Linked DNA regions of Mus musculus. The protein of the gene in region 2 purifies or fractionates together with the protein of the main gene of each other region. This does not show direct contact. Links are inferred from orthologs where the notes say so. Each region holds a gene or a part of one and is shown on either strand. Other genes may lie near its edges.

Region 1 (5,443 bases), on a different chromosome or scaffold from region 2:
CAGCTTTCAAGAAAATGGGGAATCTTGGGCAAAGCTTACTTGCAAGTGTGAGGACCTGAGTTTAGTCCATGTGTGCAGCCACCACATTCACACACACAAGGAAGGTGGGTGGTGAGCATGCAGAAAGGTGCACAGTACCGTTGTGTTGTCAGGAGAATACAGGTCAAAGCTGTGTTGGTGAGGCTCTGGCAGCCTTCCCTCTGGTACAGCTAGGAGGAAAGTAAGATGAATGGATGCCAGCAGTCACCAGGGATGCTGTAGAGATGAGGGAGCTATAGAAAGAAATGGTGATGCAGAACACAGACCAAATATAACTTGACTATGGCCCAGGAACATGTGCTGAGGGTATCTTGAAAGGCAAGGTCTGCTGTGGAGGTAGTTACAAGATGTGTCAGTATAAAATAAAGTAGTTCTGTCAGTTACATTGGTCGAGATCACAGATAGGTGGGTACAGTGAAGAGAGGAAATTGCTGTATCAGATGTTTTTTTAGATATAATGGTTTCTTTTTGGATTTGTTTGTTTCTTTTTGGATTTCAAGACAGGGTTTCTCAGCCGGGTGTGGGGGCACACACCTTTAATCCCAGCACTTGGGAGGCAGAGGCAGGTGGATTTCTGAGTTCGAGGCCAGCCTGGTCTACAGAGTGAGTTCCAGAACAGCCAGGGCTACACAGAGAAATTCTGTCTCAAAAAACAAAACAAAACAAAAAACAAAAACAAACCCAGGGTTTCTCTGTATAGTCCTGGAACTCGAGTTCCTCAGTAGACTGGTCTGGCCTCAAACCCAACTGCTGGGATTAAAGATGGACACCACCACCGCCCGGCAGCTTCTTAGGGTTTGGGCTGGAGGAGAACAGTAACCTAATGCAGTCCCAGAGTTTCCATTCAGTGAGACTGGGTTAGACACAGAAGTGAGACGTGAGTGATGACACTCAAAGAGACTAAGACTTTAAGACAGTTTGTCTCTGGTCTGCAGTGGTCTTAGTTTCCATAGTCATTAAGTACAGGTACACTGTTTGGTTTTGTTGTTGTTGTTCTGGGAACTTCAGTGTGCAGTACCCTGAAAATACACTATCAAGTCAGTACCAAGGACCACCCTAGACGGCTGAGTAGGTTAAGGCTATGAATGAGTGGTACCAAATAAGCAAATTTATAGGCATAAATGTAAATTAGTGGGGCTTTTTGGGAAATGGGGATGGAATTAATGAGCGCACAGGAAAGTGAGAGCGGTTACTGGTTTCTCTTTGAGAATGAGGATGTTCTCTGAAATTGACTCTTAGCAATGCAGCCTATTTCTAAATACACTGAAGACTTTTGAATTACACACTTCAAGTGGCCATATTATATGGCATGTGAGCTATATATATTTGAAGACACAGAGTCTTACTGTGTAGCTTTGGGTGTTTTGGAATTTCCTGGGTAGACCAGGGTGGCCTCAAACTCACAGAGAGCTTCATGCCCCTGCTTCCCTTGAGGTGAGATTAAAGGTTTGTGTCACAATGCCTGGTGAAGCTTAAAAACATCCTTTTGTATTGGAATTTGGAGGCAAAAGTAGGAGCGTGCCTTAGGTCTAGCATCTTACCTTCAAATCTTCAAACTATAAAGTGCTATAGAACTGTACTTGTTTATTTGTGTGTGTGTTTGTGCGCGCCCATGCATGAACCACAATACACGTGTGGAAGTCAAAGGCTAGTTCTCTCCTGCTACCATGAAGTTTCCAGGGATAGATCTCAGGTTGCTGGGCTTGGCAGCAAGCCCATTTATGCACTGAGCTATCTCAATGGCCCAGCCATGGTGGCCAGTTATTTACTTCAGAATGTGAGGGAGATCAGGGCCTTTCTGAGTTTAAGATTAAAACAGTTGATATAGATCAACTTTCTCATTTTACGTATTAAATGCATTTTATTTATTTTATTTTATTTGTTTTGGTTTTTTTGAGACGTGGTTTCTCTGTGTAGCCCTGGCTGTCCTGGAAATCACTCTATAGACCAGGCTGACCTCGAACTCAGAGATCCGCCTACCTCTGCCTCCCAAGTGCTGGGATAAAAGGCTTGTGCCACCACTGCCCAGCATGTATTTTATTGATTATAATAAACCTATAATAAAAGTTTCACATTTAGTTAATATATCTTGATTTATTTTGTGTATGATCTGTATCGGTTTGGCCTTGAAATCAGACCTATGCTGGAAACCCAGTTCAGCAATTTATTATTAACACCATTTGGGGCCAAGTGTTCAATTCCTTTTCTCTGTGTTTGAAAAAAAGATTCATCCTTATAGAGTTCCTGTGGATAGAGAGAGCAGCAAGAGTGGCCACCACTACTGTGCTTGATGCTTGTATTTTATGCATTGTAATTTAAGTCTTATAAAAATATTTTCTTATATTAGGAACTACCTAACAGATGGTTGAGTTATGCTCTTTGCATAGAGAATGCTATAGAATATAAATGGTGTTTTGTGAAGATTGTTTTTTTTTTAAGTCACCTGGAAATATCTAGGTAAAAAGATTATATATCACATAGCCAAGTCTGTTGGCACACTTGTTTAATTACCTGCAGAAGCTGGTGGATTTCTGTGAGATTGAGTCCAGCCTGGTCTACATAATGAGATCTAGGATAGCCAGGGCTATGTAGAGACCTTTCTCAAAAAAATCACCATCAACAAAAAGATTATATAACATATAGTTTCAAATGGGAGGGTGGGGCTCAAATGTGAAAGTTCCAGAATATTTACTTTAGTACATTTTACATGTATATGCTTTTTGGCCTTTTCAAAAGTTTGTTTGTGTGCATGAGTTGAGAAGGTAGGTTGTAAAATCCATGTTGTTGGGTGATGTGCTCAAACCTGTGATGCCAGGACTGGGGAGGCTCCACTGGGAGTTTGAGGTCACTCTCTGCTACAGAGTGACATCCTGTCTCAGAACCCAACCAACCACACAGAATGATAGGTGTATACGCAGTGTTGAGACTTACCTTGAGGGTTTCGTTCATATATAAATGTACAGAATGCTTTGGTTATAACATGCAGCAGTGTTTTCTCTGACTGGCCTCTTCCTGATGGTCCTGTGACAGTTTCCTCCCGAGACAGGGTTTCTCTGTGTAGCCCTGGCTGTCCTGGAACTCATTTTGTAGACCAGGCTGGCCTCGAACTCAGAAATCCGCCTGCCTCTGCCTCCCGAGTGCTGGGAGTAAAGGCGTGCGCCACCACGTCAGGCTCCTGTGAGAGTTTTGAGCCTTAGATGTGCAGATGCTGAGTTTCCCTCTCCCACGTGATCTGAGTCTGAGACCTTTGCGTGACAATGTGACACGTTTTAGATTTGGGATATTTTTAAATTAGGGTCACTTACTGATGTTAAAGACAACTTAGCGGCTTCCAGAAGTATTTCCAGTCTGGAACACTGAGCCTTTTTCATTGGATTCATGTCTGTGTAACATGTTTCATTGTGGCAGTGGGTAGGTAGACTTGTAATGAAGAGACTCTAGGTTTCAACTGTGGTGCTCTGGTGTAGTCTGTTACTGTGGGTTCCCAGGCCACTCTGAGGTAATTTGAATGAAGCCTGGATACGTGGCTAGTTAGTAGAGACTTAAGGGATGGTAAGCGTGTCTGCAGTGTCTTGTTCTTCCTCTGCATTCGCAGGCCGTTCTGCTCCCCTGCAGGCAGTTCTCCAGGTTCTCCTGATATCTTCCTAGTATTTCTTCTTTTGGTTTTCAGTTCTGGAAAGCCTTCTTTAACTGTCTTTGTGCTTTCTCTGTTTATAATTTATTTGAGTCTCTGGAAAAGATTTCCCTGTTTCCTTCTTGCTTTTCGGTGGTACTGCTTGGCAATAGGCATTGAATGAAAGAAGTGATAAGGATAGTAAAAATGGCTGCGAATGTGAGCTTGCCAGTGTGTGTGTACTGGAATTCAAAAGAGAGGGGGCTAACGATGGAGATTGGGGGGACAGTTACAATAAGCTTAGCAAAGCCCCTTTGTGACCCCTACTCCATTGGGTCCTGTTGGCAAAAGAAGGAAACAAACACCGCGTCGTCTCCATCTGTGCAGGAGCCACAGCCCTGACATGTGGAGTGAGTCCTTCCTGTTAGAGACGGGATGGTTGGTTGCACGCTGAGGGGGAGATGCAGCATGCTTAGTAGGGCCTCTGGAAGAACTTCTACAAATCAGTCTGGGTGGTACTGTACAAACTTCGATGTTATTAAAAACATATGTAATTTATTCTTTTATTTAGTTCAAAGAGGAAATCTCTAAACGTTTCAAATCTCATATTGACCAACTTGTGTTGATATTTGCTGGAAAAATTTTAAAAGATCAAGATACTCTGAGTCAGCATGGGATTCATGATGGACTTACGGTTCACCTTGTCATCAAAACACAGAACAGGTATGTCTGTTTACATAACCAGTTCAGGCTCTAAGGAGCGTTCCTTGTTAGTATTTAAAGCACCTTTCTTTGTATCTCTTGGTTGTTTGGTGAAAAACAACATTGTGACTCCATGCCTTCCTAGTATCTGAATGGTTCTGTGGGGAGGGTTGAGGTGCAGATCCTGGGCCCACCCCCATTTAATACTTTGCAAAATTCAGCTGGTTATTATGTAGAACATTTTGAGTTAGGTAACAACTTGGTTTTTTAGCTGTTTTCTTTAGGGAAAGTTTTAGACATGGTTTCTGTAACATGTTAGCAGAGTATAAATCATTAATGTGTGATAAATTTTTGAAAGAAACTTATTATTGTTCTGGATACCATCTAAATTTTTGTTTCATCATTAGTAAAGAAACTTGGTCAGACTTACTTGAATTTGGAATTTTCTTAATCTCATTCCCCTATACAAATCATCTAAGATGACGTAATGGAGTAAATGACAGGAGCCTCCTAAACTTAGCATTTTATTAGTATTACCTTTGTGGCTAGCCTTGACTTGCCATGCTGCCTAGCAGGGGTTAGCCTGAGTCTGTGACTGTATTGCCACACTGGGTTTCTTTTAGAGACAGAAGGTCAGTCTAGTCCAGGCCAGGGATGAATTTGCTCCTCCTGCCTTGGCCTCCTGAGCACTGGGGTCACAGGTGCACTCACTCAGAACCGCCGGTCTTACGTTCTGCCAACGCTTCCTTTGCTATATATAGACTGCAGTTGAAAGCATTGCAGTGGAGTATCTTACAAGAGCTTGCTGTAGCATCTGCTCTAGGAGCAGCTTCTCGGTCATGCATACCCTAGCAGGCTTTGTGCTGTTCCCCTAAGACCTGATGAGGAAGCGTGTTCTTCCTGTGCTCCTGTGTACTTGATAGCTTCTTGCATGAGAGTGGTATAGCACAGAGCACACATATGCGGACGTGGTGGTTCATGCTGGGATGTGAAGCACGTGTAAGGTAGATTATGATTTCTGAGATGTTGAAGTGAAAACCAGACCTTTGAATCAGTAAATGATGTGGTAAGATTCATAATCAAATTGGT
Region 2 (5,443 bases):
TTTTCTATTTTCTTTAATAGATAGTTGGATACACATGGCATTATATTTTAACCTTTACCAGATCTCTCAGAGTGAATATTTTCAGATTAAAAATCACAACAAAAATGGATTTTAAATGTGAACCCAGGGGAAAAATGAAAACACATAATTACTAAATTTTATATAAGACACATGGCTATGCTCTTACAGGGAAAATGAAAAGGGAAGCCACTTAAGACAAAAAGGTGTCTGATAATGAAGGGACATGAAGAAGAAAGTCCCGCTTGAGAACCACTAATGACACTTGTGGGTTTAGTTTTTCTGGGGAAGGGTATTATCTGAAATTTTTATGGCCTAAGTCTGAGAGGCCCTGGGGGCTGGGCAGAAGGATCTTGAGCAGTGGCCCTGTGTCTGCAGTTTTGGTCTGCACTTGTTCCTTATTGCCCTGCCTGCCCTGGGAGCGATCCGCTAACACGACCTCACCGTTGGTGGTTTGGGTTCCTTACTCTCATGAAGCCTTTTGCTGTGGTAGATGTACGAAGATAATCAACGCTGATTCGGAGGACCCAAAATACATCATCAATGTGAAGCAGTTTGCCAAGTTCGTGGTGGATCTCAGTGATCAGGTGGCACCCACTGACATTGAAGAAGGGATGAGAGTCGGGTAAGCTGGCACCATGCCTTCATGTTGAATGAGAAAACAGAGTGCCGTAGAGTACTAAGGGCTGGTGCAACCCCAGGCTTTCCTCCTCTGTGAGCTCCTTGGCCTCACAGCAGCGTAGCCTTCCTGTTCCCACCGTTTTGTCTTGTACATGGCTTGATGTGTCCCAGTTAAGGACGCTCAGCTAAGGTGGAGGCAGCACTGCCTGAGAACAGTTAATGAGGACTGACTGGATGCCTGTAGACTTCCTAAAAAGTCACTCTATAACTTTCCTCTTCGTAATTTCTCTTTTGCTTACCTATAATTTGGTCTTAAACACTAGCTAGAAAAAGTCCTCTGAAAACTTAAAGAGCATCTATTTTGTTTTTATTTTTACTTCTGTAGTGTGGACAGAAATAAATACCAAATTCACATTCCACTACCTCCTAAGATCGACCCAACAGTTACCATGATGCAGGTAAGAAACCTGGGGGAGGGGACTGGCATGACTTTAATATAATTGCAAGCCAGGCATATAGTGCTCCCATCTATAACACCAGCATTTGGAAGGCTTAGGCAGAAGGATTGCCACAAACTAAAGGCAGCCTGGGCAACATAGTGAGCTTGAGGCTAGCCTGGGCTACAAAGCAAAAGCCTATTTCATAAAAACAAACAAAGCCCCCCCCCCCCCACAAAAAAGCAATTGTATCTATTCCAAAAGAGTTTGAAGCTTTTAAGCAGTTAATGGAGCTTATGCCCTAAAAAGTTACCAAAAAATGAAAAGGATTTTTGAGACGTCTTTATCAGTAATTGTCACTTATGTCATAATATGTAGCACAACAAATAGTTCTAGGACACCGCAATTAATCTCCTAACTTATACTAAATAGTTCTAACTCCTTTTTTATGAACATTCTTGTTACAGACTGGTTGTTATGGTATTAGGTTTCCTGTGGAGGATCTGGTCTGCTACTCAAAAGCCTAAGACTATGTTGTATAATCTTTCTTTCCTAGGTGGAGGAAAAACCCGACGTCACATACAGTGATGTTGGTGGCTGTAAGGAACAGATTGAGAAATTGCGAGAAGTAGTTGAAACCCCTCTGCTCCATGTAAGTAGCTGAGTGTCTTGCAGCAACTTTGTGTAAAGACCTGACAGCCTTCTATGCAGTGAGTGCTAGCACTGCCTGTGTTCCCACAGCTAATGAAAGCTTATGACACGGCGGTGGTGGGAAAAGATGGTGAGTTTCAGATGGGAGCAAGCAAAAGAATTGAGTAGCCAGGTGTATTATCAGACAGATCTGTTACTTAGATTGATAAAGGAAATTAGCAGTGGTCGATAGTACTATCTAAGTATGTTACTGTTGCTATATATAGAAGAAAATGGTTGTTTCAGTGACATGAAGAGAAAAAAGTTAAGCCTTAGAGGATAGGAACATGCCATACCTGAAAATTGATTTCTTAGGCACTATAATTTTTAAAGTGAAAATAAGTTGTTAAGGCTGGATAATTAAAGCATTTTTAAAAGTCATTTAGATATATTGATATGATTTTGGTTTAGATATTATACCTTAGAATAAGTAAAAGTACTTTAGATCAAGCATACAAATTATAGATCTAAATTATTGTTTCTGTATATTATTTTTTATCTTTATTGTATAAAATTTGTGTCTGTTACAGCCAGAGAGGTTTGTTAACCTTGGAATCGAGCCTCCAAAGGGTGTACTGCTGTTTGGGCCACCAGGCACAGGCAAGACACTCTGTGCTAGGGCAGTTGCCAATCGGACTGATGCTTGCTTCATTCGAGTTATTGGGTCTGAGCTCGTACAGAAATACGTCGGCGAGGTAAAGTGAATTTGTCAAAATAACGGCATTTATTGTTCTGTGAGAGATATGTGATATTTGCATAAAATTAGACATTAATTCCAATGAGCTGGATGTAAAGTGAATAAGTAATAAGATTAAAATTAAATTGAAAATAATAATTCTTAAGTAGGCTACTTTAAAATTTTTTGAGCAATGTTTCCTCCCCAGAAGAATGGAGTTTAGTGTAGTTTTGGTATGTGAAGTAAAACAAACAAACAAACAAACAAAAACCTCAGAAATGCTGGGTAAACAAAATTTTATCTTAGGGACAGTATTCTGTGGTTTAAAGAGAAAGAAAACATGGGTTGTCTATATGTTGAGCATGGGTATCTATACACATTGTCTAGCTAAATATTTAGGTTAAAGACTAGGGCTGTATATATTATATCTAAAACATACTGTCTAATATGCTTATGGATCACCAGAAGGGCTACCTGACTAGTATGTATTTTAATTTAATATTTTGTTCAAAGCTTAATCAAATTCAGTGTTGAGTAGTTCCAAGTGACAGATCAAATACTTCTGTTAACTCAAGTTTTGCTGGGCTTACTTCACTTAAGAATGTTCATTTCAAGCCAGGCGTGGTGGCGCACGCCTTCAATCCCAGCACTCGGGAGGCAGAGGCAGGTGGATTTCTGAGTTCAAGGCCAGCCTGGTCTACAAAGTGAGTTCCAGGTCAGCCAGGGCTACACAGAGAAACCCTGTCTCCAAAAACAAAAACAAACAAACAAACAAAGAATGTTAATTTCACACCTTCTTGTCTGAACCTTAGTGCTGTTTAGTAGTCAGGAAAGTTATGGAATACTGTGTTGAAGCTAGCAGTATTAATTTGGTAATACAGGTAGCAAACCACGGGGTTGTTTTGTTTTGAGACAGAGTTTCTGTGTTTATCCCTGCCTGTCCTGGAATTCTCTCTACCAAGCCAGCCATGAACTCAGAGATCCACCTGCCTCTGCCTCTTGAGTGCTGGAATTAAAGACATGAGCCGCGCTGCCCGGCTCAAACTTCAGGTATTTTTAAAAAGCTTTAGGTGATACTGATTGAGAATGCTGTTAGGAAAGGTGTGCAGTATATTTATTATAATTTAAAAGATTTTGAAACCAACTCTGTAATAACCAAATTTTCTTATTAGGGAGCTCGAATGGTTCGTGAGCTTTTTGAAATGGCCAGGACAAAAAAAGCCTGCCTTATTTTCTTTGATGAAATTGATGCCATTGGAGGTATGAATGATATTTTATTGATTTAGTTACTTTTTAGTGTGTGTGGTTAAAGGACAAATCTATGGGAGTCAATTCTTTTCTACCATGTTCAAACTGGGCAAAATTCCAGCCCTGAGCAAGGAAAGTGGACACAAGGTCTCATCCCTTCCCATGAAGCAGTTTGCAGTTGGTGCCTGCTGGGAAAGGAGCCCTCGTTATTCTCCAGTGGAGCGTCACAGTTTCTATCACCCTCACCCAGGGCAGGCCTAGGCCAACACAAAACAAACTGGGTTTTGTCTGCTTTTCATTTCATTTTGTTTTGCTTTGAAATATTTTGCTTTGCAATTAGTTTTATAACTTCAAAGTAGGTTGTGCACTTAGCTGTAAGGGAAGGCTGTGAGCCAAGGGGTGGCATTTTCAGGTCCTGAGTGGTGATGCTCGCAGTGGACATGAGCTGCTTCTCTGCCTTCTTCTCAGGGGCTCGGTTTGACGATGGCGCTGGGGGTGACAATGAAGTGCAGAGAACCATGCTGGAGCTCATCAATCAGCTGGATGGCTTTGATCCTCGCGGCAACATCAAGGTGCTCATGGCCACTAACCGCCCTGACACTCTGGACCCAGCGCTCATGAGACCGGGGAGGCTGGACAGGAAGATTGAGTTCAGCTTACCTGACTTAGAGGTCAAAACAGAATTTGATTTTAGAAAAAAATTCTTCAACTTTTGTCTTTTTATACATTTTCATTTTAATATATGTGAATTCCTTAATTTTTAGGGTCGAACGCACATCTTTAAGATTCACGCTCGCTCAATGAGTGTGGAAAGAGACATTCGATTTGAGCTGTTGGCCCGCCTGTGTCCAAACAGTACTGGTGAGTGGCAGGCGGACTCCCTGGTTTCCCGTCGGTCTTCAGGGCTGCCGTAATTAACAGTCGTGTTTTCTCTCTGTCGGACAGGAGCGGAGATTAGAAGTGTTTGCACAGAAGCTGGTATGTTTGCAATCCGAGCACGGAGAAAAATTGCTACAGAGAAGGACTTCTTAGAAGCTGTAAATAAGGTCATCAAGTCTTACGCCAAATTCAGCGCTACTCCCCGCTACATGACATACAATTGAGCCCCAGGGCTCTGAGTGAAAGAACTTCCTGTGCTTTTGTAACTTGTTGCCACCGCACAAAAATAAAAGATTTAAAAACTGTGTCAGTGCTTCCAGATCTCTGTTCCCTGCTGTGCAGTGTTAGTCAGCGTCCCAGCGCACTTATTCTGGAGGACTGATGTAAGTACTCTTAGCCTACCGTAGATCCTTAGGAGGTGCAGAAAGTCCACGTGTCAGGCTCCATTACCCGTTCTGACCTCTGCTACCATCAAAGCACTTCATATGGTGTGTGGCACGTGCATCTCAACGGGGTTTCATATCATATGGTGTGTGGCATGTGCATCACGATGGGGTTTTCCCATAGTAAGGGGTTTTTGAAGTAAGGTTTTGGCCAGACTGGATTGTTTTGTTTGTGGTACACGCACTGAGTTTTTGAATGCTAGGCAAACACCCTACCACTGAACAATATACCCCCTGCGTGGACCGAATGGTTTTTAAAGTTGAAGCATTCATTGTCCGTTCCCTTTTGACCAGTTCCAAATCAGTCTAGAATTGGTGATTTTAATGAACAGTGAAATGTCAGCAGGTAAAGAGGGTTAAATGTGAGGATTTAGGAAATTCAGAATTGTGTAAATTTAGAGAAAAATTGCTTCCTTAATGGTAAAATTCTG

What was found.
Region 1: the proteins of Psmc2 (region 2) and Ubqln1 purify together in Homo sapiens (affinity purification with western blotting; 3 studies listed by BioGRID, with this or other methods). This does not show direct contact. The link is inferred for Mus musculus from reciprocal best matches to the Homo sapiens genes PSMC2 and UBQLN1.

The regions. Positions count from the first base shown.
Region 1 is NC_000079.6:58,197,851-58,203,293, reverse strand, and holds part of Ubqln1 (ubiquilin-1), read left to right. Parts: intron 1-4,223; coding exon 4,224-4,375; intron 4,376-5,443. UniProt on the Homo sapiens protein: Plays an important role in the regulation of different protein degradation mechanisms and pathways including ubiquitin-proteasome system (UPS), autophagy and endoplasmic reticulum-associated protein degradation (ERAD) pathway.
Region 2 is NC_000071.6:21,798,912-21,804,354, forward strand, and holds the end of Psmc2 (26S proteasome regulatory subunit 7), read left to right. Parts: intron 1-511; coding exon 512-643; intron 644-1,024; coding exon 1,025-1,097; intron 1,098-1,632; coding exon 1,633-1,728; intron 1,729-2,296; coding exon 2,297-2,461; intron 2,462-3,614; coding exon 3,615-3,702; intron 3,703-4,158; coding exon 4,159-4,361; intron 4,362-4,454; coding exon 4,455-4,551; intron 4,552-4,635; coding exon 4,636-4,793; 3' UTR 4,794-4,876; downstream 4,877-5,443.